Caenorhabditis elegans: one gene and its partners. The protein of the gene in region 2 purifies or fractionates together with the protein of the main gene of each other region. This does not show direct contact. Each region holds a gene or a part of one and is shown on either strand. Other genes may lie near its edges.

What was found.
Region 1: the proteins of pro-2 (region 2) and T01B7.5 fractionate together in Caenorhabditis elegans (co-fractionation; one large-scale study listed by BioGRID). This does not show direct contact.
Region 3: the proteins of pro-2 (region 2) and grwd-1 fractionate together in Caenorhabditis elegans (co-fractionation; one large-scale study listed by BioGRID). This does not show direct contact.

The regions. Positions count from the first base shown.
Region 1 is NC_003280.10:8,715,275-8,723,395, reverse strand, and holds T01B7.5 (Sas10 C-terminal domain-containing protein), read right to left. Parts: upstream 6,563-8,121; 5' UTR 6,552-6,562; coding exon 6,529-6,551; intron 6,477-6,528; coding exon 6,271-6,476; intron 6,227-6,270; coding exon 6,003-6,226; exon of another isoform or gene 5,960-6,002; coding exon 5,873-5,959; intron 5,008-5,872; coding exon 4,901-5,007; intron 4,854-4,900; coding exon 4,733-4,853; intron 4,688-4,732; coding exon 4,529-4,687; intron 4,363-4,528; coding exon 4,210-4,362; intron 3,464-4,209; coding exon 3,320-3,463; 3' UTR 3,315-3,319; intron 1,884-3,314; 3' UTR 1,711-1,883; downstream 1-1,710. Other genes in the region: trcs-2 (TRansport of membrane to Cell Surface), read right to left, coding at 1-26, 74-709, 760-900; T01B7.13 (uncharacterized protein), read right to left, coding at 7,679-7,775, 7,825-7,979; cyn-11 (Peptidyl-prolyl cis-trans isomerase 11), read left to right, coding at 7,116-7,217, 7,272-7,430, 7,476-7,656, 8,094-8,121.
Region 2 is NC_003280.10:10,337,818-10,347,635, forward strand, and holds pro-2 (Nucleolar complex protein 2 homolog), read right to left. Parts: upstream 7,296-9,818; 5' UTR 7,295-7,295; coding exon 7,074-7,294; intron 7,029-7,073; coding exon 6,746-7,028; intron 5,737-6,745; coding exon 5,461-5,736; intron 5,402-5,460; coding exon 5,291-5,401; intron 5,245-5,290; coding exon 5,134-5,244; intron 4,340-5,133; coding exon 4,148-4,339; intron 3,447-4,147; coding exon 3,186-3,446; intron 3,135-3,185; coding exon 2,907-3,134; intron 2,609-2,906; coding exon 2,465-2,608; intron 2,411-2,464; coding exon 2,303-2,410; intron 2,242-2,302; coding exon 2,029-2,241; 3' UTR 1,924-2,028; downstream 1-1,923. Other genes in the region: C07E3.10 (uncharacterized protein), read left to right, coding at 8,585-8,689, 8,832-9,032; stip-1 (Septin and tuftelin-interacting protein 1 homolog), read right to left, coding at 9,326-9,690, 9,738-9,818. UniProt on the Caenorhabditis elegans protein: Required for normal somatic gonad development and for regulation of germline development and proliferation.
Region 3 is NC_003281.10:5,151,889-5,157,146, forward strand, and holds grwd-1 (Glutamate-rich WD repeat-containing protein 1), read left to right. Parts: upstream 1-1,575; 5' UTR 1,576-1,657; coding exon 1,658-1,780; intron 1,781-1,826; coding exon 1,827-1,920; intron 1,921-1,968; coding exon 1,969-2,126; intron 2,127-2,265; coding exon 2,266-2,716; intron 2,717-2,892; coding exon 2,893-3,428; 3' UTR 3,429-3,548; downstream 3,549-5,258. Other genes in the region: rbm-42 (RNA-binding protein 42), read right to left, coding at 153-728, 857-1,160, 1,211-1,239; putative cytosolic Fe-S cluster assembly factor oxy-4, read right to left, coding at 3,644-4,031, 4,077-4,182.

The sequences.
Region 1 (8,121 bases), 1.6 Mb from region 2:
GGAGTCAACTTTCTAATTGGATAGATCTGCAAAAAAAACAAATTAGTATTAATTTTACTCTAGTTTAAATTACCGAGCCCATATCTTCAGGATTACTTCCCATCAGCTTAGACGTCTTGACATCGGAAACACGACGCCCATCAAAGGTTATAAAACGACCTGGTCTCATCCAACTTTCATACAACGTAGGTGCAAATTCAACATTTTGGCAAGTGGGAGAAGTCACAGATATCACGTAATTGTCAGAGATATCATAGATAACACCCGATTGAGCTTGAACAAATTCAACTGATTGATGATCCGATTGTCGTTGAACGGCGGTTGGAGGCCCCAATTTCTTCATATGTGAGGTATTTTGAATGTCCGTAGGAGTAGGTGGTACGCTTGTCGTCTTTCTAGTATCATCATAAATAGCCCATGCTACAAACTTGCAGCCGTGAGCTTCTTCTTGACGGAAAATGTATATGAGATAAGGTTTGTCGATATATGCTCCTTGTCCGTACCAACACGCTCCATTCGTCGTTCTTGTTGAAAAAGGAACAAAAACTTTCGCAGTTCTTCCATGAATTGAAACATGCCCAAATTTTAATTGTTCATCCAAATAAGAAAGACTTCCATAAACTTGTAAAAGATCAGTTGGTTTAATTGCTGTCAATGCACTATAACGACCATTTTGAAGTTGAGCAGAAAATATTAAATGATCACCATTCTGTAAGTTATTTTCTAAAGTTCTTTGAAGCCACGATTCGAAGAACTTACCTCTGGTTCATAATATTTCTTTTCATAATTCAACCGTAAAGCACTATCAGGTAAGTCAACTAGACGATTATGTTGTTTTTCCAAAATCACACAAGATCTACCGGTTTTCCGAACATGTCCATCTCCTAAAATCTTCGACATCATTCGACTATCGAGTGCAATGCTGAAATAATATTAATGAAATTACGTTTAAATCAATTTGATTTGAGGTTTAAAGCGGAAAGAATAAGAGAAAAAAAGAGAAGAAAATTGGAAAATCGGTGAGGGAGAAGGAAAGTGAGAGCGATGGTTATGCAAGCTGTGATAAAGAGAAAAATGTGAGCTCGACGGATGCACAAAGGACCGTCTGCCAGTCTTATAAGAAAAAATAACATGAGCAGATAAAAAAGTGCAAAGATTGGGGGAGCATTGGGGAACAGTACTCGTCCGCCCATTACGTGAAGCCTCGGTAACGAGCAGCTGAAATTACAGTGACACTCTGATTCTAAGAAATTCAGGAAATATAATATTGCGAAAATGCCACAGAAACAGGTGAATTTCTAAGCTGAAAACCAGTGCTTGTCTCAGTTAGTCACTGCAGCTCACCGAGCATCGGAGATGTTTGCTTCAACACTCTGATAATTATAGGTTTATATCTAAGCGAGCTTTTTGGGGAAACGAAAGACACTGAGCCGACTGAATGGAATGTAAAATGAGAAAATGTAGAATGAGGCGGAGCTGCGAGCTGATATGTGTTGGTGGGGAGAATGACTGTTGCCAAGACAATCAAATCTCCAGAGGGGAAATGAATCTATCATAATCAATGAGGAGCCATGTGATAACAATGTATGAAGATAATAATGAAGAAGTAATGTGAATATGGGAAATGACAATAATAAGATAATAGAAGAAAGATATTCGTCGGGTTTCAAACCGATATAAGGCAATAAAATAATTATTTTCAATAAAATTGAAAACTCAACTTCATTTTGGTAGAAAGGGCGATTTTAGGAACAAAAAAAATCAACAACGAAGGTTAACAGGATAAATGAAAAATGAATAAATCAAAGAAAACAAGATATTAACGATCAAAAAAACCAGGAAAGTCCAGCTGAATGCAGTGGCAACGGAGAAATTGATGACACCTGAAAATTAAATTGGTTGAAAAGGTAATGCAATGTTGAGAAAATTGATAAAAATTAATTTTCAACCGTTGATATCAGAAGTTTTGGATGATAGGCTCTTTTTTTTTTCATAGAAGACACAAAATAAACAAAGGTCATCTATAATTTCTGATGAACGAACATTTTTAGAATTCACACGAGGACTATAACAAAACGATCGATTGTAAAGAAAATAGAAAATGCATTTTTTAATCAGTTCAAAGCCAAGATAATTCAATTTAGAAAAAAAAAAATTAATAATCAAACATGCTGCAGACCACTTTATATCATTGAATAGAAATAGAGAAATATGAAAAACGTCTGCTTATCAATATGTGATATGTGACTACAATTTTCGTCGTAGGCATTTTCCGAGAGCTATGAAACTTTCAGTGAAAAATTGTATGAAAGAAGAAGAGGCTGGAGGCAATAGAATTGATGAATCATAGGAAGACAATCAGAAGAAAGCTTATCATCGAACACGCAAACACACGCAGGCACACACACATATGTGAACGCCATCAATTATTAAATTTTAGCCTAAACTTGATTGAAATAGATCAGTTATTTTCTTTAGCATTCTAGGAAAAAGTAATTTAGTTACGGGTATTCGCCTTTCTGACATGAAACGAGCTATACGAATTATTGAACAAATCCGAAGAGGCTTGGTTTTCGAGAATGACACGTCACAATTACTTTAAATTCTCATCAATGTGTAACACACATCAGACTCAAATCTCAAATTAAAATATTCATTCAGACAGACTAGTCAACACCTTTTCGAATTTGTTGTATTTAAAAAGATTCAAAAATAGAGAAACAGTCTGAAATCACAGTTTTATAGTACACTTTATTGCTCTTATGAAATTATGAACAGCTCGTAGACAATACGAGGTCAGCTGAACTAAAATGGAAAGTAGCAGGTGGCTAGGGCTCCAGTCGTTCATGGGGACGGGGGACACGAATAAAAAATAGGATACTCGCTCTCACACACACACACACGGTGGTGCCAGACCTCGCGCACATATTGCCGGGGTCGAAAAGAGAGGAGCGAAATGACCGATGGAGGAAGAATAAGAAGAAGGCTATCCTCTTTTGATGAATATAGCCCCAAAGTGACCGGGCACACAAAAACACATTCAACCGACTAAAAGGGCAAACGAGAGGAATAGGAAAAGGTTAAACATACGTACCATATGATAAGTAAATTCAGGTTTTTCATTGTTTTTATATGTTGATAGGATATTTATGTTGAAAGTTAATATTCACATTGTTTTCGGTTTCATATGCTAATTATTTTCATGTGTAAAAGAGTGAAGCTCATTTGCGCAGTGGAGAGTGAAGAGTATGTCGCGTGATAAATATGACATGGCACGATATCAGAATGAGATGTCTGCATTACATTCAACTCACTTTTTTTAAGCGATAAGCTTAGTCGACTTGATTGTAGATGCACGAATTCCGCTCGTTTCTCCAGAATATTTCTGCATTTCGCGACGAACGTTTCCAATCTGAGACTTGACGCGCTTCTCGATGGCGTGGACCTTGCGACGATTTTTAGTCTGAAATTAGAAATTATTGAACTGGGAGACTTCAAAAAAAAAAACACACAACGCAGCTAATTGGGAGTTGCAGTAAAAATGAGCATAGTATACGTAACCAAGGATGAAACTCTCAAGTGTCGTCGCCTAGACGTTGAATTGTCTATGTCACAGTGAGTCTATTTTATTTCTTTCAAGAAAAATTAAGATTAAACAAAATCGTATTACTTATCTGTCTGAATAAGTCATGGTTATATGCTTCATTTGTGCTCGGTTTTCTTTTTGAGTTAAAATATGCTTCAGATAATTCATTACACTACGCTTTTTAAAAAACTTTTTTTGAATTCAGTAGCAAGCAGGTGTGATACTGAATTAATTATTTTCTTATCACAACTCTCGAAAAAGAATCTTAAAAAAATAGAAACCAAATAAGCAAGTTGAGATTTCGGCAGCCAATTACTCGCTGTGGTGGGGAGCATAGACGCCGTCTCGACGTATTGGATTTTTGGGTTGGAGCAAAAAATAGAGAGTTATGTAGTGTATTCATATTTTGATCTCACATGAAACTCGGCTTTGTGAGACTTTTTTGTCAAACAAGAATTGTTATTTTTCAAATATATTCATGTATTCGTGAAAGCATTGTAACAACATTTTCATGCACAAGAAATGTCGACCCTACTCATCGAATTATTTTTCATACACTAATTGTTTATGATACAAATATTTTTGGTATTAAAAATAAGATAAAAAATCGAAAATAAAGTTACCTTGCTGGTCTTGGCCTTCTTTTTCCCACGTCGTTCTGCGTATTCACGGTTTTTGGCAACTTTGTCAGAGGCCTTTCTTTTTTCATCTGCATCCATTGGTGTGAAGTGTGGATGAATTGATGTGTTATCAGAAGATGTGATTGTTGAAAGATTCTGAAAAAAGTAAATCCAGATCTTAATCCAATTCAGCTATGTTTCCTGATTTTTATTGACAAAAGAATGTACAATTTTTTTAAATTTTACAAACTTTAAAAATCTTTAAAATATACGGCAAACAAAAAATGTATTTAAATTCGAATAATGTTTTCCCTAAACTTACATTGTTCATAATTGCTCCAAAATTCTTCTTTGTAAGTTGAACATCTCCAACCTTCGAAATCAATTCTTCCATATTTTCTGGCTCCGACTCCGCCCATTTCTTGAGCTCATCCAGATGATCCGAATTCGAATGCAAAAAATCTTCACACTCGGTGATTTTCTGAATTTAAAAGTTTGTATTTGAAATTTAAATCAATCGGAATACCTTTTCAAGTCGTTTCAGCGACTCCACTACAGGATGGATGTCAACAAGTGGATCGTCGAGTTTTTCATTGGAAAACTGTTTGGCTCTGAGATTCAACAGGAATGCTGTGTTCATGAGGTATCTGAAAGATAAATCATAAAAATGGAAATTTAGGAAAAGAAAACATACGATGCATATGTCTGGGCAACGTAGACTAACTGCGATCGCAATGCGCATTTTGGAATCTGCTTGATTACATTTTCAAGAGGCTTCACGACGAGATCGAAGATGCGTTTCTGAAAAGTATAAAAAATTAAAATTAAACCGAAAAAAGGGGAAAATTGAACTGTTAGAATGGTGATGAAAAGAAACAAGTGAAAAGGAAGAAGAGAAAGATAACAACAAGAGAAAATGTTATCAGGTGAAAAGGAAACTGGTCACGAGCTCTCCGGAAACAGCTGTATAACAATTCTTAGCCGCTAATTAGAATTGAAAGTAGCAATATATAATTGAAAAACAGAAAAAGCTGGCGGTCGCTGCCGATATATGTCCAACATCGTTTGGTGTGAATTACAAACCGACCAGGTGAACAGAAACGAGGAAAACAAGACAAGTTATGAGAATAATTAGAATGTGATGTTTGAGGATGAGAACATACGAAACTAACTCGAGCAGTTCAGGCATCGAATTCTTCAGACACCAGAAGGGCACTTTGCTTTCGCTTTTTAATGTTCACACATAACGGCGTCTGATGTTGGATGATTTAAATCGTTTCAATTGTGTGTTTTGTCCGTTGAGAATCATCGTTTAAAGCGAATCGTCCAGCATCCTTAGGCTATGATGGCAACCCGTTTTTGACGTAATCAGAGACGATTGCGCGATTTGAGACCGCTTATCTACTAGCCATCGGTGGTGTTTAGTTGAAAGAATGAAGAGAACAGATGAAGTGAAAACGGGAAGATACTGAAAAAGAGAGAACACGAAAAATTAACCTTGGAAACGATACGAATCAGCATTTGATGTTCACAAGTGATAGCTTCAAAATTTAATAAACTTTCGAGAATTGGCATTAGGAAGAAATAGGAAATTATCACAAGAGGAAGAAGCTGCAACTGATACCGGGAAAAAAGTGAAGAGACATTTTAAAAAATTAGAACTTACTCTTGCTTCAAATTGTTCCAGAGTTTTCACGATTTTTTTGTTCTTTGTCCTTGCATTCTCCTCATTGAATTCTAAAACTGTTTCCACCTAAAACTTTTCATTATTTTAATTATTCTTTCAATTCGTTTACCTCGACAGTTTCTTCTTTTTCTTCCTCATCTTCATCGTCGTCGTCAAATAAATCAGCAATGGCAGCTGTCGATTTGTCGATTTGTTTTTGACGAGTCAACGCATCTTCCTCTTCGAGTTGAGCATCTTCCATTTCTTCTTCACGCATTCCGCCCCAATCTTTATCCACGAATCCAGTTCCATAGAAATCTTTCCTCTTTTTACCCCATTTGTTGTCCGTGATATCTTAAATAAATTACGTTAATCAGGTAATTCAGAAAGAAAACTACCATTAACATCGTCATCATCAAAGTCGGATCCATCGTCTTCACTGCTATCCGATGCTTCTGCTTCAACGTTTAACACCTCTTCTGGACGATTGAATGTTTTTCTTTTGTGAATAGCACCCTTTTCGACTTTTCTGTCTTTGTTATGAAAAGTATTGATTTCATCAATGAGATCATCATTTTCGTCTTCGTATGAGATATGAGCAGATCTGAAAATATATTTAATGATTATTTATAAATTGTGAAAAACATTCAACTTACGCTTTCCCCTTCCTTGATGACATAGTTCTAGTATCTGAAATCCAAAAATTAGCAATTTATAGCATTTTCAACAGAGAAACGGATTGCACCGACCGAAAATAAACCAAATTCTGATTTTCAAATCAATGAATAACTCTAATAAAGTTAATTATGCTTTAATCGTGTGATAAACTTCGATAAATTAATTTTTAAATGAATAGAACGAACTTTTACAAGATAAATTATTCAAAAATTGAATTTTCGAGTTGAATTTGAGAAAAGACGGGGGAAAATTATTAGCGGCAGGGCTTTGTGGGCGGGGTTTCTGATTGCAAACTACCCGCGCACTTTATTATTGTTCTATACACCCATTTAATGCTCACCTTTTTTTGTTTTGAATAGAACGAATATCACTTTTTTCTTGAATATGTCGAATTTTATTGACGAATTTGTATTTCTTGGTTATAAAACTTATGAACGATTAGTTCAGTTGATCCCATTATTCTCGGAAAAACCTGACACATTTCGAAAATACTTATTTCGAATACTTACAGAAAACGTTTTTCTGGTTTTAAAAACTAACTCATTTATATGTTTTCTTTTTCAGAATGACTGAATACGACAAGTTTGCCGAGCAGCTCCGTCATCCGGATAACCCAATCGTTTTTCTAGAAGTTACCGCCGGTGGTGCACCAATCGGAACTATTGTTGTAAGTTGACGACCATTCCAGTTTTAATTTGCTATATATTTCATAATTTTTCAGATCGAGTTATTTGCTGATGTAACACCGAGAACTGCTGAAAACTTTCGTCAGTTCTGTACAGGAGAATACAAAAAAGATGGTGTCCCAAACGGATACAAAAACTGCACATTTCATCGTGTGATCAAGGACTTTATGATTCAGGGTGGCGACTTCTGCAACGTAAGTTTAACAATTTTAAATTTTAAAGTTATATCATTTTTTCAGGGCGATGGAACCGGTTTGATGAGCATCTATGGTTCAAAGTTCCGTGACGAGAATTTCGAGCTGAAGCACATAGGACCAGGAATGCTTTCGATGGCTAACGCTGGCTCTGACACAAATGGTTGTCAGTTTTTTATCACTTGCGCAAAAACCGATTTCCTTGACAACAAACATGTAGTTTTTGGTAATTTTTTTTTATTTCAAATTCACGGATAAGTTGATTTCTGTAGTACAAAGAAAGAAGAATACGGATTGTGATTGTGATAAATGTCTCCAACGTCATTAGTTCTCCATCCCAATCCCCTGAAAGCAGTGTTTTAAAAAGAAAATCGCAAATTTTAATGATACCCACTGATAATGTTGGTGATACATTGATGGTGCCATAGTTGTTGTTTTATACTGATTATATGGGTTGAACATGCCAGCGTTAGCATACAATAAAGGAAGTAATGTTTGCAATGAAACGCATTTTAAAAAGAAAAAAATTAGAACGAGAATGCGTGTCATCGTCTAGCTAAAACAACTAGATTTCCTTATATCCTTATCACCTTTTATACGAGATAAAGCTAGTTAATGACGCCATTGATATGTTTGATATTTCTGACCGATCGTTTATTGCAGGACGAGTACTCGATGGAATGCTGACGGT
Region 2 (9,818 bases):
CTTTCAGAAACTTTGTAGTAAATTTTAAGCTCTTTCAGATTATATTAACAATATTCCAGTAGGTACAAGAAGCTTCAAGTAGTTACAGAAATAGTATATTTTCAGCCCTACCTTTTAGTGCGTATTTTTTTATTTTATGAAAACTACCATTTATAGGCAAAAAGATGGATTTTCCAATTTTTGAAAATTCATAAATCTCTTCAATGTAACTTTTTTCGAAATGTCTTTCAGAAACTTTGTAGTAAATTTTAAGCTCTTTCAGATTATATTAACAATATTCCAGTAGGTACAAGAAGCTTCAAGTAGTTACAGAAATAGTACATTTTCAGCCCTACCTTTTAGTGCGTATTTTATTATTAATGAAAACTACTATGTATAGGCAAAAATAGATGGATTTTACAAACTTTGAAAATTCATAAACCTCTTCAAAGTAACTGTTTTCGAAATGTCTTTCAGAAACTTTGTAGTAAATTTTAAGCTCTTTCAGATTATATTAACAATATTCCAGTAGGTACAAGAAGCTTCAAGTAGTTACAGAAATAGTATATTTTCAGCCCTACCTTTTAGTGCGTATTTTTTTATTTTATGAAAACTACCATTTATAGGCAAAAAGATGGATTTTCCAATTTTTGAAAATTCATAAATCTCTTCAATGTAACTTTTTTCGAAATGTCTTTCAGAAACTTTGTAGTAAATTTTAAGCTCTTTCAGATTATATTAACAATATTCCAGTAGGTACAAGAAGCTTCAAGTAGTTACAGAAATAGTACATTTTCAGCCCTACCTTTTAGTGCGTATTTTATTATTTTATGAAAACTACCATTTATAGGCAAAAAGATGGATTTTCCAATTTTTGAAAATTCATAAATCTCTTCAATGTAACTTTTTTCGAAATGTCTTTCAGAAACTTTGTAGTAAATTTTAAGCTCTTTCAGATTATATTAACAATATTCCAGTAGGTACAAGAAGCTTCAAGTAGTTACAGAAATAGTACATTTTCAGCCCTACCTTTTAGTGCGTATTTTATTATTAATGAAAACTACTATGTATAGGCAAAAATAGATGGATTTTACAAACTTTGAAAATTCATAAACCTCTTCAAAGTAACTGTTTTCGAAATGTCTTTCAGAAACTTTGTAGTAAATTTTAAGCTCTTTCAGATTATATTAACAATATTCCAGTAGGTACAAGAAGCTTCAAGTAGTTACAGAAATAGTACATTTTCAGCCCTACCTTTTAGTGCGTATTTTATTATTAATGAAAACTACTATGTATAGGCAAAAATAGATGGATTTTACAAACTTTGAAAATTCATAAACCTCTTCAAAGTAACTGTTTTCGAAATGTCTTTCAGAAACTTTGTAGTAAATTTTAAGCTCTTTCAGATTATATTAACAATATTCCAGTAGGTACAAGAAGCTTCAAGTAGTTACAGAAATAGTACATTTTCAGCCCTACCTTTTAGTGCGTATTTTATTATTAATGAAAACTACTATGTATAGGCAAAAATAGATGGATTTTACAAACTTTGAAAAATATAGCTCATCTATGCTCATAGCTCAGCTATGTCTCAGCTATAGGTGAGCTATAGCTGAGCTGAGCTAAAATCTGAAATTTCGCAGCTAAAATTCACATTTCACCGTTTCTGAACATGGGCTTTCGAATGAAACATGTTTCGTTCGAAAAGCCGCTGGCACCTTCAGACCCTTCGCTAGTTAGATGCATTTATTGCTTTTTTCCAGTGATCAGAAAAGTTAAGATTTAGAGACACAAGAAATTCCAGATCTTTCCTAATATTCTTCCCGTTAATAGTGTACTTGAAGTTATTTCTCGGTTTTTCCCTAATGTGACATGGATTGTTTTCTCTTCATTCAGCTTTAGTTTAGCTGATGTGGGCCAACCAACTACGTTTGATGAAATAAAACATTATTCCCGAACAATTTCAATAACAACAAAAATGATAAAGTAACAACAACAGAAATAAAAAAACCAAATTCTTTTTAAAAAAACAAAATATTAGGATAACAGTTAATCCTCATCACTCCACATTGACATATCAGCAAATTGATCTGGAACAGAGGCGTCTGCTTTCTTGGCAGCTGCTCCAATCTTGATTCTCTTCCTCTTTGCCTTCGAAACCTCTGGCTTGACATCATCCTCGTCCTCGACAGTTTCATTAGGTTTTCTTTTTTTCGCAGCAGCAGCTTCTTCTTCCTTCTTTTTCTTTTTGTCGTCTTTCTTCTGAAGCAATTAATATTTTGAAAATGTTTAGTTTATGAAAAGTTTTTCAATAAAAACGAACCGAGTTCTCCACAGCACTTCTTTCCTTCATCTTCCATACTTTCTCCCATTGCCGATAGAATGTCTTGATCGGCGAGTCAGGATTGTTGAGATCAAAGCGGACGGCACGCTGAAGCAGTCATTTTATTTTTATTGAAAAATATATATAAATTGTTTGACTAACCACTTGCATCTCATCATTAATATCGACACTCTTGCGAGCAAGAACATCAAGCACAAATCTTGAGTGCTCTTTCAGTTTTGTTTGGAATCCGCGGAACAAGTGAGCGTGATCTCCATTTTTCATTGTTTCTAGGATTGCGGAAATCTGAAAATATTATTTAATTGTTTTTTTTTACTTGGAATTTCTTATTTAATTCCATCCTAACATTTAGCAAAATCGTCGATGGAAATGAAATTCTTTTTTTAACTTATTTTATTCAAAAAATGAATTATTGTTCGGAAAAAAAAATTGAGTTTTGAGTAGAAACTGAAAAAAAAACAATGAATTTTCAACTAGAAACATCCGAAAATTGCTAAAAAATCAATTTAAAACAATTTGTCGTGCCGAGACTATTTTTTGCGCGAAAATCTCAAAATTTTGCGAATAAGTAATATGAACTGACTCTATGATTGATCGGCAAAACGACGTCCGGAAATGCGGCTTGACTAGCCAAAAGATGTGCAGACTGCATCATAGTTCTGAACACATGTTCTGAGATGACTTTTCGCCACTGTGGAAGATCTGAGAATTGTGATGAACATTTCAGAGTACACTCGATATCCGGAAGTTTGACTGCTCCTTTTACTGGTTTTGGCTTCGACTTCAACTCACGAGCCAATTCTTCCAGACACTGGAATTATTATTTTTCCGTGAGAATTTGTTAAAAAATAATAAAACTTACGTCGCAAGAAACCTGCAAAATCGGAATATAATTGGTGCAACTGGCTTGAAGTTGAATGAGCAGTTGACAACAATGAAGACGGAGTGGTAGGAAAGTTGGAGCATTGCAAAGCTTGAAAATTCCAACGATAACTTGAATGAGAGGATAGACAAGTTCTCCAATTTGTTCAGCGCCGTTCACAGAATGAGCTTTAGCAATAACTCGTACCCACATGTACATACACTGCATCATCTGCCAATTGTAGATGGAGAAGATCAAATCCTTAAAAAATGTTTCTTTTTTGGGCTGTAGATTTTTTGTTTTGGTTTTTTGTGTGGTTTTGGCAAAAACTTTATTATTTTTCGATATTTTTTGAAAAAAATGGAACCGAAAAATTGATAAATTGATAACACTCGAAATTATAAAAAGAGTGCAATTTTGACCAAAATATTAAATCTTTTCAAAATAACATGAAACAATTTTTTTTCGTTTTTTTTTGGAGAAAACTTTTTTTTCGGTTTCAACCAGGGGTGTGCGGATAATAGCCGATTTAGCCGAATTAGCCGATCGGCTAATTCGGCTAACTCGGCTAATATTAGCCGAATTAGCCGTTAGCCGACTTTTTGGCAGTTCGGCTAATACGTAGCCGATTTTGATGTTAGCCGAATTCGCCAATCGGCTATTTCGGCTAATTCAACTAACATATTTTTTTGGAAAACAAAATGTGGTGAATTTGTATGATTTTTTCCTATTTGAACAGTCGTTCATCCCTGAATTTGCTCAATAACAGTGAAAAAAGTAACCCAAAACTTGAATTAACAGAATGGACAAAAAAAGTTTAACCAAATTCCGAATTAGCCGAAAATTAGCCGATTTGAATGACTGAGATTAGCCGAATTAGCCGTTAGCCGAAAAAATCGGTTATCCACACATCCCTGGTTTCAACCCTCTCAGGATTCAGTGTTTTCTGTGTTTCTTCTCACCTTTCGTCCTTTTGAAATCATTGCATTTCTAAGATGAACAGCTGTTTGACGAATATAGACAAATGCATACTTATAAGCTTGCTCTGGATTCAAAATTGTCAGCTCGGCAAATGTTCGGTGCATGAATTGAAGAAGTGGCCACGTTTCGTTGGTGACGATTTTCGAGTTTGCAACAAATGCAACATAGGCGGTCTGTGTGAGTTTGTATAGTTGCGAAAACCCGGTACCTGGTCTCGACGCGATCGAAAATTTTCTCAAACTGATTTTCAAATTTGTTTTTGGAAAATCGAAAACCGAAAAATTTTAAATTTTTTCAATTAAAAAAATATTTTTTTTTCGCGGCTTTTCATTAAAATTTTTTTTAAAGGAAAGCACATTTTTTGCACATTATTTTCACATTTTAATAGCTCAGTTGCTATACTGCGAATAATTTTGTCATTTTTCTTTAAAAAATAAACGAAAAAAATTATTTCCAGTATTGCAGAAAAAATTTTCAAGATTTCAAAAAATAGTTTTTCTTTATTTCGAAAAACGCTCGAAACTTTGGCAATCTTGTTTTGTTTCCAGAGGAAAATTTTTTTTCTCATTAAAATGTTGAAGTAGCTTTTTAATTTTCAAACGTTTTTTTCGATGTTCCGGAAAAATCGAAAATTTGAATTTTTGATCATCATCTCAGCGCAATTTTTTCCTATCGTCTTCAAAGATTACTGTAGTTCTTACTTCTAAAATTTCTAATTTTTTCAAAATTCGAATATTGAACGATTATTTTCTCGTTGTCCAAATGTTGTTTTTTTTAGATTTAAGAGGAAATTTTAAACATTCTGAAAAACTAGACACAGAGAAGTACAGTACTCCTTAAAGGTGCACACTCTTTTGTGCGGGAAATTTTCCATGATTTAGCGTTTAAAATCGAACTTTTGAATTAGATTATGTTTAGATTAATTAGATCAATTTTTAAATTTTTTACAAAAAATAAATTGAATTACCTTGTAAAGTGGCACGAAGTGTTGCGGATAGTTTTTGACAAGAAGATTCATGCAAACGAAGGCTGGAAGTCTGCATTCCAGAGTTTTGCGACTCCAAATTCTGACGACCGCCTGAAAATAAATCAATTAAAAGTATGATTTTCTTGTAATGACTTACCTTAATCAAAAGTTTAGACATTCTGGAGAAATGAGCATAGAGATCGACAAGCCGAGTCATGGCTTTAATTGTGGCAATGAGAACTTCAGTGGTTTGAACTTCGTTGAGAAACTGAAAATATTTGAATTTAAATCAAAAATTTAGAATTTCAGATGTTTTCAGCCACTTACAACAATCATTGCATGAAGATATGTTCTAACATATGTCTGATATTTCTTGATTGCAGTCTTCGAGAACAAAACTTTATCTCCTTCAGGTTTCGCTTTCAATAATCTTTTTAGAATATCAGGCATTGCTTGAAAGCACATTCGAACAACAGCTTCGAAGATTGATTGCTCATTAATGACATATTTTGGAGCTTCAATGTCTGCACCAACTCGAGCAACACAAGCGACAAAAACATCGACAGCCATACGAACATCCGATGGATTGGTGGGTGTGGAGGTCTATAATATTTCATTTTGTTGGAATTCGAATAGGATTCTCGCACGATGGCCATAGACTATTTTGCTTCATTATCACTTTTTAAAAAAAATTTTTTTGCCAAAAAATATTTTACACTTTAAAAAAAAGTTGCACTTGATATTATTCAAAAAAAAACAGTCGCAACATCAAAATTTCCGTTTTTTTCGCTTCCGTCGACTTCGAGAAATTTTTTTTTCGGATTCAGCCCTATTTTAAATGAATTTTTTTTTTTTAATATATTTAATCTTAGACTATTTTGCTTCGTTTTTGCCTTTTTCAACGTTTTTGGCTTAAAAAAACGTTTTTTTCTCACTTTTCGAAAGAAAAAACCGCCTGTCGCTCACTGAAAACACAAAATTTTTAATTTTCACACTTTTTTCAAAAAAAAAACATTCCAAACTTCAAAATTTCCTTTTTTGCTTCTTTCGTGATTTTTGGCGAAAAACCTTTTTTTTTCGATAACGTTTTTTTCTGGTACAACCATATTTCCCAAACGCGAAATATTTCGTTTTATGCTAAAAGTATACGGTACCCGGTCTCGACACGACATAATTTTAGTTAAATGCAAACTCGTGTGCGCATTTAAAGAGTACTGTAGTTTCAAACTCTAGTTACTGTAATTTTCATTGATTTTTTATAGTATTTTTTACTGATTTCTTATTAATTATGTGATTTTAATTGTTTTTTTTTTGTTGAATAAATGAATATATTTTCAACTAAAATACGAAAAATCGATGAAAAATTTCTAAAAACCAATATTTAGTCACAGCTTGGGTCTGCTAATCATTTAGTATCAGGTTTTTAAAATTTTTTAAAAAATCATTTACTTCAAAATTTACGTTTTTAAAAAAATGTATGCGTTTTTAATTGTTTTCTCAACTAAACAAATATATTTTTTCGAGTTTGTCCGCAGTTGCCTCGCAACTTGAACCCAACGGACATCAAAGTATCAAAGTAAGTAAAGTTTTCCGTCTCGATAATATAAATTACCTCATCATCCAAAACGAGAACTTGTTGAAGGTAAGAGTAAACATTTGAATCCACGATAAGACGTCCAGAATTGTCACTTTTAATCTTTGGTTTTCGGATCTTCTTAATCTTTGTCTTGTCGTCATCCTCCTCATCATCCTCATCATCATCACTTTCCTCTTCCTCTTCATCTTCATCATCCTCATCGTCATCTTCATCGTCATCCCCATCATCTTCCATATTCAATAGATCGGCATCTTCCTGTTGAAGGAACTTGAAAAACTCGGGATCGGATTGTTTCAGTCTAAAAATATATATTTTTATTACCAGCTCGAAGACAATTTCTCACTTTTCCAAATCCAACTTATGCTTCTTCACACCTCCTTTCTCAACAGTCACAGTTCCATCATCTTCATCTTCAGATCCATCTAAACTTCCTTCTCCATCCAATTTTGGTACCTCCTCATCTGAACTTCCCTCGTCCTCAGAACTTGGCTTCTTTTCAATCTTGATTCGTTTTGAAATAACTTTTCTTTTTTTGAGTCCCGCGGGTTTTTTGAGAAGCTTCATCCTGAAATTATGATGTTGTGGAAATACATGATTTTCTAATATCGAAATGATAATTCAGTTGTACACTCGCAAAATTTTGCGCTAAAAATACAGTACCCTCCACAGACTTACAAAAATATATTCGCTTTTTAAGAGTACGGTAATTTCGAACTTTTTTTTCTGCGGCAGTCGTTTTTAGTCGTTTTTTTCACGATTTATGATACATAAAGATCAAAAACACTTTTTGAAAAGCCGCGAACTTTCAATCCACTACTGTATTTTTGTGTTTTGTTTAAGCGACCGAATCGGGGTCACAAGACCTCTAGAGACTACGGTCAACGAAGAGACTTTCTCATAGTCAGGAAAAAGATTCGGATGAAACGCGCGTAACAAAGAAGGAATAATTCTCTGACTGTATAGTCATCTCATTTGCATATTAATTCAAGGCAGGATTTCATTATTTCTTATTCTCATCCATGATAGGTTTTTGATTTAATTATTCTAAGTCTATAGAATCTAGGAATCTAGTATGTAGCTTGATTGGAACTTCTTCGTTCCGAAAGGTCACTTGAAAATCTATAGAGAACCGGTCTCATCGCTCGCTAGATTAGCTGCCATTTTTCCATTCGATGTCAAAATATCATAATAGTTTCTGCAATTCTACAAAATGACATAATGCACCATGTTTTTCTAACATTTTTAATTTCCTATTTGTGTCAAAAATAATTTTTTTTAAGTCACTAGATTTATCTGAAAATAACATTTAGTTTAAGGTAATTTTCTGCATTTTCTCAAAAGTTTCGGCTGAAAAAAATGTTATTTTCAGATAAATCTAGTGATTTTCTATATTTTTTCGACATAAATTAAATTCCATAAATAGGATATTTTTTGATGAAATTAAATAGTTAAACTATTGAGAATCTCATAAAAATTAAAATAATCCCACAATTCCCGCTAGCTACTTCAATGTTCCACTCCTAAACCACATACACAATCCTCTACATTTCGCAATAAATGTCCCCGGTACGATAAGCCAGAACGGACGGGAGATAGGTACAAAAGCCATTCTGCGGGATGAATTGGACACTTGTAGGATAATGGAAGGAGAAGCTGCTGGCTGTCGCCCGTCAGCAACATCAGAAAAACGAGAAAAATCTTTCCGCGCAGCCGTGGTGCGCCACAGCTTTTACGCTTCATTCCGTCGGCTTCATCTCTCGCTCACAGTCTTTCCATCGCTTTTGACTTTTATGTTTTTGTTTTATAGTTGAGAAACTGATACAAAATGTGAAAAATTGCTAATTTTCAGATTTCATGTTCGTCACATTATCCTACACAACGCACACAATTATCTCAATATCTCTACATGTTTTCGGAGTAGTGGTTGGACTATTCGTATGGTATTTATTCCCGAAAAATGTATGTTTTCTTGTAGAATTCTCGATTTTTGAGATAAATTTAGTTTCTACGATTCAGAAAAGATTACAATTTTTAGTATTTTTAGTAAAAACTTATTTTTTTAATTTAAAAGCTTCCAAAATTTTCTCATCTAGATTTTCAGCCGACGCGCTCAATTGTCCAACTCCCGTCAGAAAGAGTAGCTGTCTCGATTGAAACTCCAATAACTACAAGAAGTGAAAAACTGAATGCCTACTCCCCGACAAGTTCTAATAATAATTTTACGACGAATGACGGCGGAAAATTAATCGATTTTGATGATCAGCATATTCCACAGATCTCAGCGATTCGCCAATTCGGTTAACTTCAATCATTATTTTCTAATCGGTTAGAAAATTCAATTAGAATATTAGAATTTTATGAAATTGCGAAAAATTAACCGATGATTTTTAATGTAAAAATTTTACGAGTATACTATATTACAGTTTTTTTTTTAATTTCAATAAATTTTATAAAATACAAATACAAAGCAGAAAGTATAAAATAATGAACCGTTATCTAACGGAATGAATAGACAAGGTTAAAATTAAAACAATAATAAATTAAAATAACTTTTATCGTAAGTTTAAACAAGATCATATGATATGTTAAAAATGATTATCCTTGTGCACCTTGAGCCATTTGAATAAGCTCATTGAGCCCTGAAGGTCGCCATACAAATTCGATTGGATCCATCACATAAACCATTTCCGAATCGAGATAAATCGAAAGTGCACCGAACCAAAATACTTGTCGTCCGTCTTTGTATCGATCTTTTTGTGGATGATATGTGAATCCATTCTTTCCAGCTGTGTACTCGATAATTTCTTTTAATGACAGTTTCTGAACAGGTGCAGCTTGAGTAAAGTGTGGTGCCATTGGTGGTGGTGGAGCCATTGGAGCAATCGGAGTGGCTTGGAGTCCGCCGACTTTCTCTCCTTGAAGGGATCGCCCTATTGCGATCATTGAGCGACGAAGATTTTCTGAAAAAAAAACATTTTGATTCTAAAAACGAGATATTTGAACTTACCATTTACAGTTGGATAATTAACAAGAACTTGTGGAATTCGAGCCTTCCAGGATCCATACCAACGCTTCACTTCATTGTAAT
Region 3 (5,258 bases), on a different chromosome or scaffold from region 2:
ACTCAAATAACGATAAATATCTCAATTCAGACTTTTATATATTGAAAAGAAAAATGAATAAAAATACGATGACAGGAAAATAAGGGGTACAATGAAAGTATTGGGGTATAAATGAATAAATTACAGAAAAAAATGTAGAAAAACGAATCGATTTACAAAATTCCAAGTTCTTTCTTTTGCTTTCTCTTTTGCTTGATAACATCAATATTACGCTCCTTCCATGCCGATTTTCTCAATTTAATCGGTCGATTTCCAACATATTTTCCGTCCATTTCACGCATAGCTCTCACATAATCCTCCGAATCTCTGAATGAAACGAATCCATATCCTTTACTCTTATTTGTTCGTGATTCTCTGACAACTTTGGCTTTTTGGAAACTTGGGTATTTTCGAAAAGCCTTTGCAAGAAGTTCATCCGACACTTCATTTCCCAGATCTCCACAGAAAACTCGAAAATCATTTTCATCCCATTCGGCAAGAGATGGATCTTCCCAAACCTGACCACCACCGGATCTCACAAACTTCTTTTTCGCTTGTTGTTCCTTGATTTTCTTCTTAAATGGATCGGTTTGCTTTTTGAAATTCATCTTATCAATATCTGATTGAAGAGCTTGAGTTCGCAGAAGTTCTTGTGGAATTGCGTTTACTGCAGGTGTTTCATATAATGCTGGAGCACCTTCAATAGTTGCAGGAGCCGGAATTCCGAGTACTCGAGGAGGGAACATTATCTGTAAATTTAATATTCAATTGAGAGTAATATTCACATAACTTCAATTTTTAACTTTTCTCTCAAAAATTTATGGCTTTATTCATAAAATAAGGATATTTTTTAAGTCAACGGAAAATCAAAACTAACCGGTGCAGCTCTTAATTGTGGAGGCATGAAAATTGAAGGTGGAACTGGAGGCATTGTTGGAAGCCTCCCAAGTGCCGGGTTGATAAATGGAGAAACTGCAATTGTGGCAGCTATCGGAATAAACGGAGGCGCTGCCAAAAGTGATGGTTGAATAACTTGAGCACTAGAAGTAGCTGCTGATGACTCGGAAGTAGTTGGTCCTGCCGAAATTGTTGCATTATCGTAGCCAACATGCGTTTGAGAGCTTGCTGGCTCCTCCGAATTGCTACTCGCTTGTTCAAGTTCGGCTAACTCGCTTTCAAATCTAAAATAATATAATTTGTTTGATAATAAATATAGGAAGAATCAACTTACAAAGCCAGTTCATCATCCAAGTTGGCCATTGTTGAAGGGTGAGCGTTTCAGGCTGAAAATAAGTCTAAATATAGTCAGAAAGTACAGAAACTTTGCGACAGATAAATCAAAAAATATTAATATTTAATATTATTATCTTTAACACATAAATGAATACAAATAAAAGGAAAATAGCTTTTGTTTCGAAAAACATTAAAAAATTGATAAAAATATTAAGAGTACGCAAACACCGCATGAAATAAGCCAGAGACGACGCACTTTTGCGTACTCTAAAATTTTTTCTGTTTTCCTATTTATTTTTTTTATCCTCCCAATTTTCACGCTTTACTAGTAGTTTTGTGCTCATAATTGTTTTAAAATTTAAGAAAACACCCTCTGAAGTTCCAAATATTACCTCATCCGCTTTTTCTAACATTTCTTAAGAGATATATTCTGTATCTGCAGAAAATGTCCGGTGAAAATGACGTTGAAATGCATGATGAGGATCCAGTGGAGGATATAGACGAGTCTGAAGAGGAAGTTGATGAAACTGATGATGAAGACGAGGAAGTACCGGAGAATCAGAGACAAGTGAGCTAGAAATTTCGTACAATACTTCTAATTGTTAAAATTGCAGGCTTACATTCCAGGCCTCAGCCGGCCATTGAAAAAAGGAGAAGAATTGGATTTTGACCCTAGTGCTTACAAACTATTTCATAGTTTCAATTCTGGTGATTCAAACGAAATTGTTTCTAAAATATTTATATTTTATGATTTAGATTGGCCATGCTTGTCGTTTGACGTTGTTAAAGATGGTTTGGGCGAGAACAGAACACAATTCCCTGCCGAATGTTATATTGTCAGTGGAACTCAAGCCGATAAGCCAAGGGATAACGAAATCATTGTGATGGGATTGAAGAATCTTACAACGATGAGGGTTAGTCGGTTTCAAACTTTTTTATTATTTACCTGTTATGAAATTGAAATTCCGGCCAACGTTTAGTTTTAAGCTCAGTAACACAATTGTTAAACTAAAAAAAACAAGGATATCTCTACAATAAAAGTGAGTATTTCAGAAAGAAAAAGAAAACAAAGGCGACGACAGTGACACCTCTGAAGACGAATCCGAAGATGAAGATGCCGAAGAAGAGAAGAAAAGAGAACCAAAAATGCACGCTGTTTCGATTCCTCACTATGGTGGTATTAACCGAATTCGTTCCGATCGTCTTGGTGACAGTACTGTATGTGCTTGCTGGAGTGATCAAGGACGTGTCCAGGTGTGGAATATCACTGATGCATTGAATTATACTCATGGAATGAGCGGAGAGTCGAAGACTGAAGTGCAAAAGATCGATCGACCCTTGTTCACGAATAATGGATCTGGAAAAGAAGGATATGGACTTGCTTGGTCTTCATTAAAAACTGGAGACTTGGCTACTGGTGATATCATCAAAAAGATTTATTTGTGGCAAATGAAGGAAGGAGGACAATGGGCTGTTGGAGCTAATCCATTAACTGGACATAAAAGTAATTTATTTAATTTTGATCTGAAAATTCCAAAAATTGAAATGTGTCTCCTGAATGGCGTTTGAGTGGTTTTTTCTTGAATAGATTGGAAAAAAACAAAAATCTGAATTAAAAACTTGTCTTTGTCGCATAAAAATTTTTGAGCATTTTTCAGTACATATTCCAATATTTTTCAGAGAGTGTCGAAGATCTTGCATGGTCACCAACTGAAACTGGACTTCTTGCTTCATGTTCCGCGGATGGAAGTATCAAACTATGGGATACACGTTCTGCTCCAAAAGATGCCTGCGTCTGTACAGTGCAAAAAGCTCATGAATCCGATGTTAATGTTATTTCGTGGAATCGTCACGAAAACCTCATTGTTTCTGGTGGTGATGACGGAGAGCTGAAAATTTGGTCTTTGAAAACAATCCAATTCGGTCAACCAGTGGCACTCTTCAAGTATCACAATTCACCAATCACTTCAGTCGACTGGCATCCACATGAAACAACGACATTTATGGCTTCCGGTGAAGACGATCAGACAACAATTTGGGATATTGCAACTGAAGCAGATGGACAAACGAATATCGAAGGAGTTCCACCACAGCTGATGTTCGTCCATATGGGTCAGAATGAGGTCAAAGAAGTTCACTGGCATCAACAGATTCCTGGATTGGCTATCAACACTTCAATTGATGGATTTAATGTCTTCAAGACTATTAATATTTAAGATGTCTCCCTGTTATTGCTCCCTGTTTGTTTTTGTTGCTGTTTTTCTCATCTATTCAACATTGTTACTGTTCATTTTTTTTCGTAACTTTTCTGTTAACCAAAAAATGCTTTAAAAATGTCGCGTTTTCGTTGAAAAACAAAAAAAAACATTTTATTCTATAGAATCTAAAAAATTAGGGACTGGGAATGTATCACAAAATATAACAAGAAAATTCACCATTTCAAGACTTGAGCAACATTCGTCTCAACGGGCCTATAGTCCGTAAACAGAAGATTACGGTAGTTTTTATCAAGTTTCTCCCATTCCTCTCGAACTTTTATCCAGGTTTCTTCATCATCTTGTCTGGGTAAATCTTCATATAATGCCTCGACTTTAATCAATTTCTCTTCTCTCTCATCCATTGTCTCGTACCGAATCTGACCTCCACCATTTGCACATCCACCCGGACAAGCCATAATTTCCACGTAATCTGTCTTCTCCTTTTTCGTCTTCATTTTTCGAACCAGATTCTGCACATTTCGAAACCCGTAAACCTTGGCAACTCTTAAAAGAATTTCTCCAGCTTCGGATTCTACAGTCGTGGAGAACATGTTCTTGTTTCTGAAAAAATGAAATATTACATTATTTAAAGTTATTTATTCCTACAGTTTTGATGTTTTTACAATTCCTCCTCCATTTTCCAGCACGAAATCTCGAACAATTCGATCAGCATATCCTCCAGAAGCACCACCATCGTCACCAATAACAGATCCTGAAACATTTCAGTATTGTGTTTTAAGGGAGGCATCTTTTTTTATTTTGTTTCGTTTCTAAAGATTACTGTAGAAAATTTACGATATGTTTTTCAGCTCCTGCTCTGTTCAGTTTCATGTTGTATTTCTCGTAAAATAAATGTTTTCCACAAGTTGGAAAATATGGTTTTGTCGCCAATACCTACCGAGACCCATGGTTGGGAGGCGGAGGCATTGTAGCGCGATTTTAAAAGAACCAACGCCTCGAAAATTTTCAAAAACGGCGAGAGAAAAATATTTGAATTCCCCAAGAGGAATTTCACCACAGCGCGTGCAAAAATGTCTGCATTTGCGCGTGACGGTGTTTGCACAAATTACACCGAATGGTCGAGCTGAAAACACGTGTCCTACAACACGTGAAGAGAAATAAAAAAATCTACACGTAGAAAAGGAGTATTCAAAAGTTTAAAATTTATTCCTCAAGAATAAGAGCTTGAATTCAGTCACTCAAGAAATTGATTGTGTAACTGATCAAGCCTGATTTTTTTTGGGATGTAAGTTTTATTAATTTCTGAGAATTTGACTGAAATTATTTTCAATTTCAGAATATTATTGGCGCAGACTGTTTCTGTTGGGTGCAAAGCGAAGGCTACAAAACCAAAAGCAGCTGCTCCGAAACCGGTAAGTATAAATAAGATTTTATAAGCTGAAGATGTTCTAAAATTGAAATCATTTCAGATAAGCTCAAATCGACAATCTCGAAAGTTGTCCCACCAGCTCGTCCACCATCACGACCAGAAGATTATGAGATCAACTGGGGACCTAAATGCTGTTAATTTTGAATAAAATCGGTTAAAATACAAGTCGTTGTTTTTTTGTCTTTCAGCTCTCAAATCCGCCGCAGCTTCTTTGTTTTTCTCGAATTTTCAAGTGAAAAAGAGGTTTTTATGTCTACAGTGGCGTGCTAAATTCTGTAGAAAAATTCCAGATTTTTGGTAACTTTTGGTATTCTCTACATAAAGTTTTTTTCACTAAAAAATTTGAGGAAACCAAAGGATTTGCGTCGAAATTGGAGAATTTGAGCCTGACTTTAAAG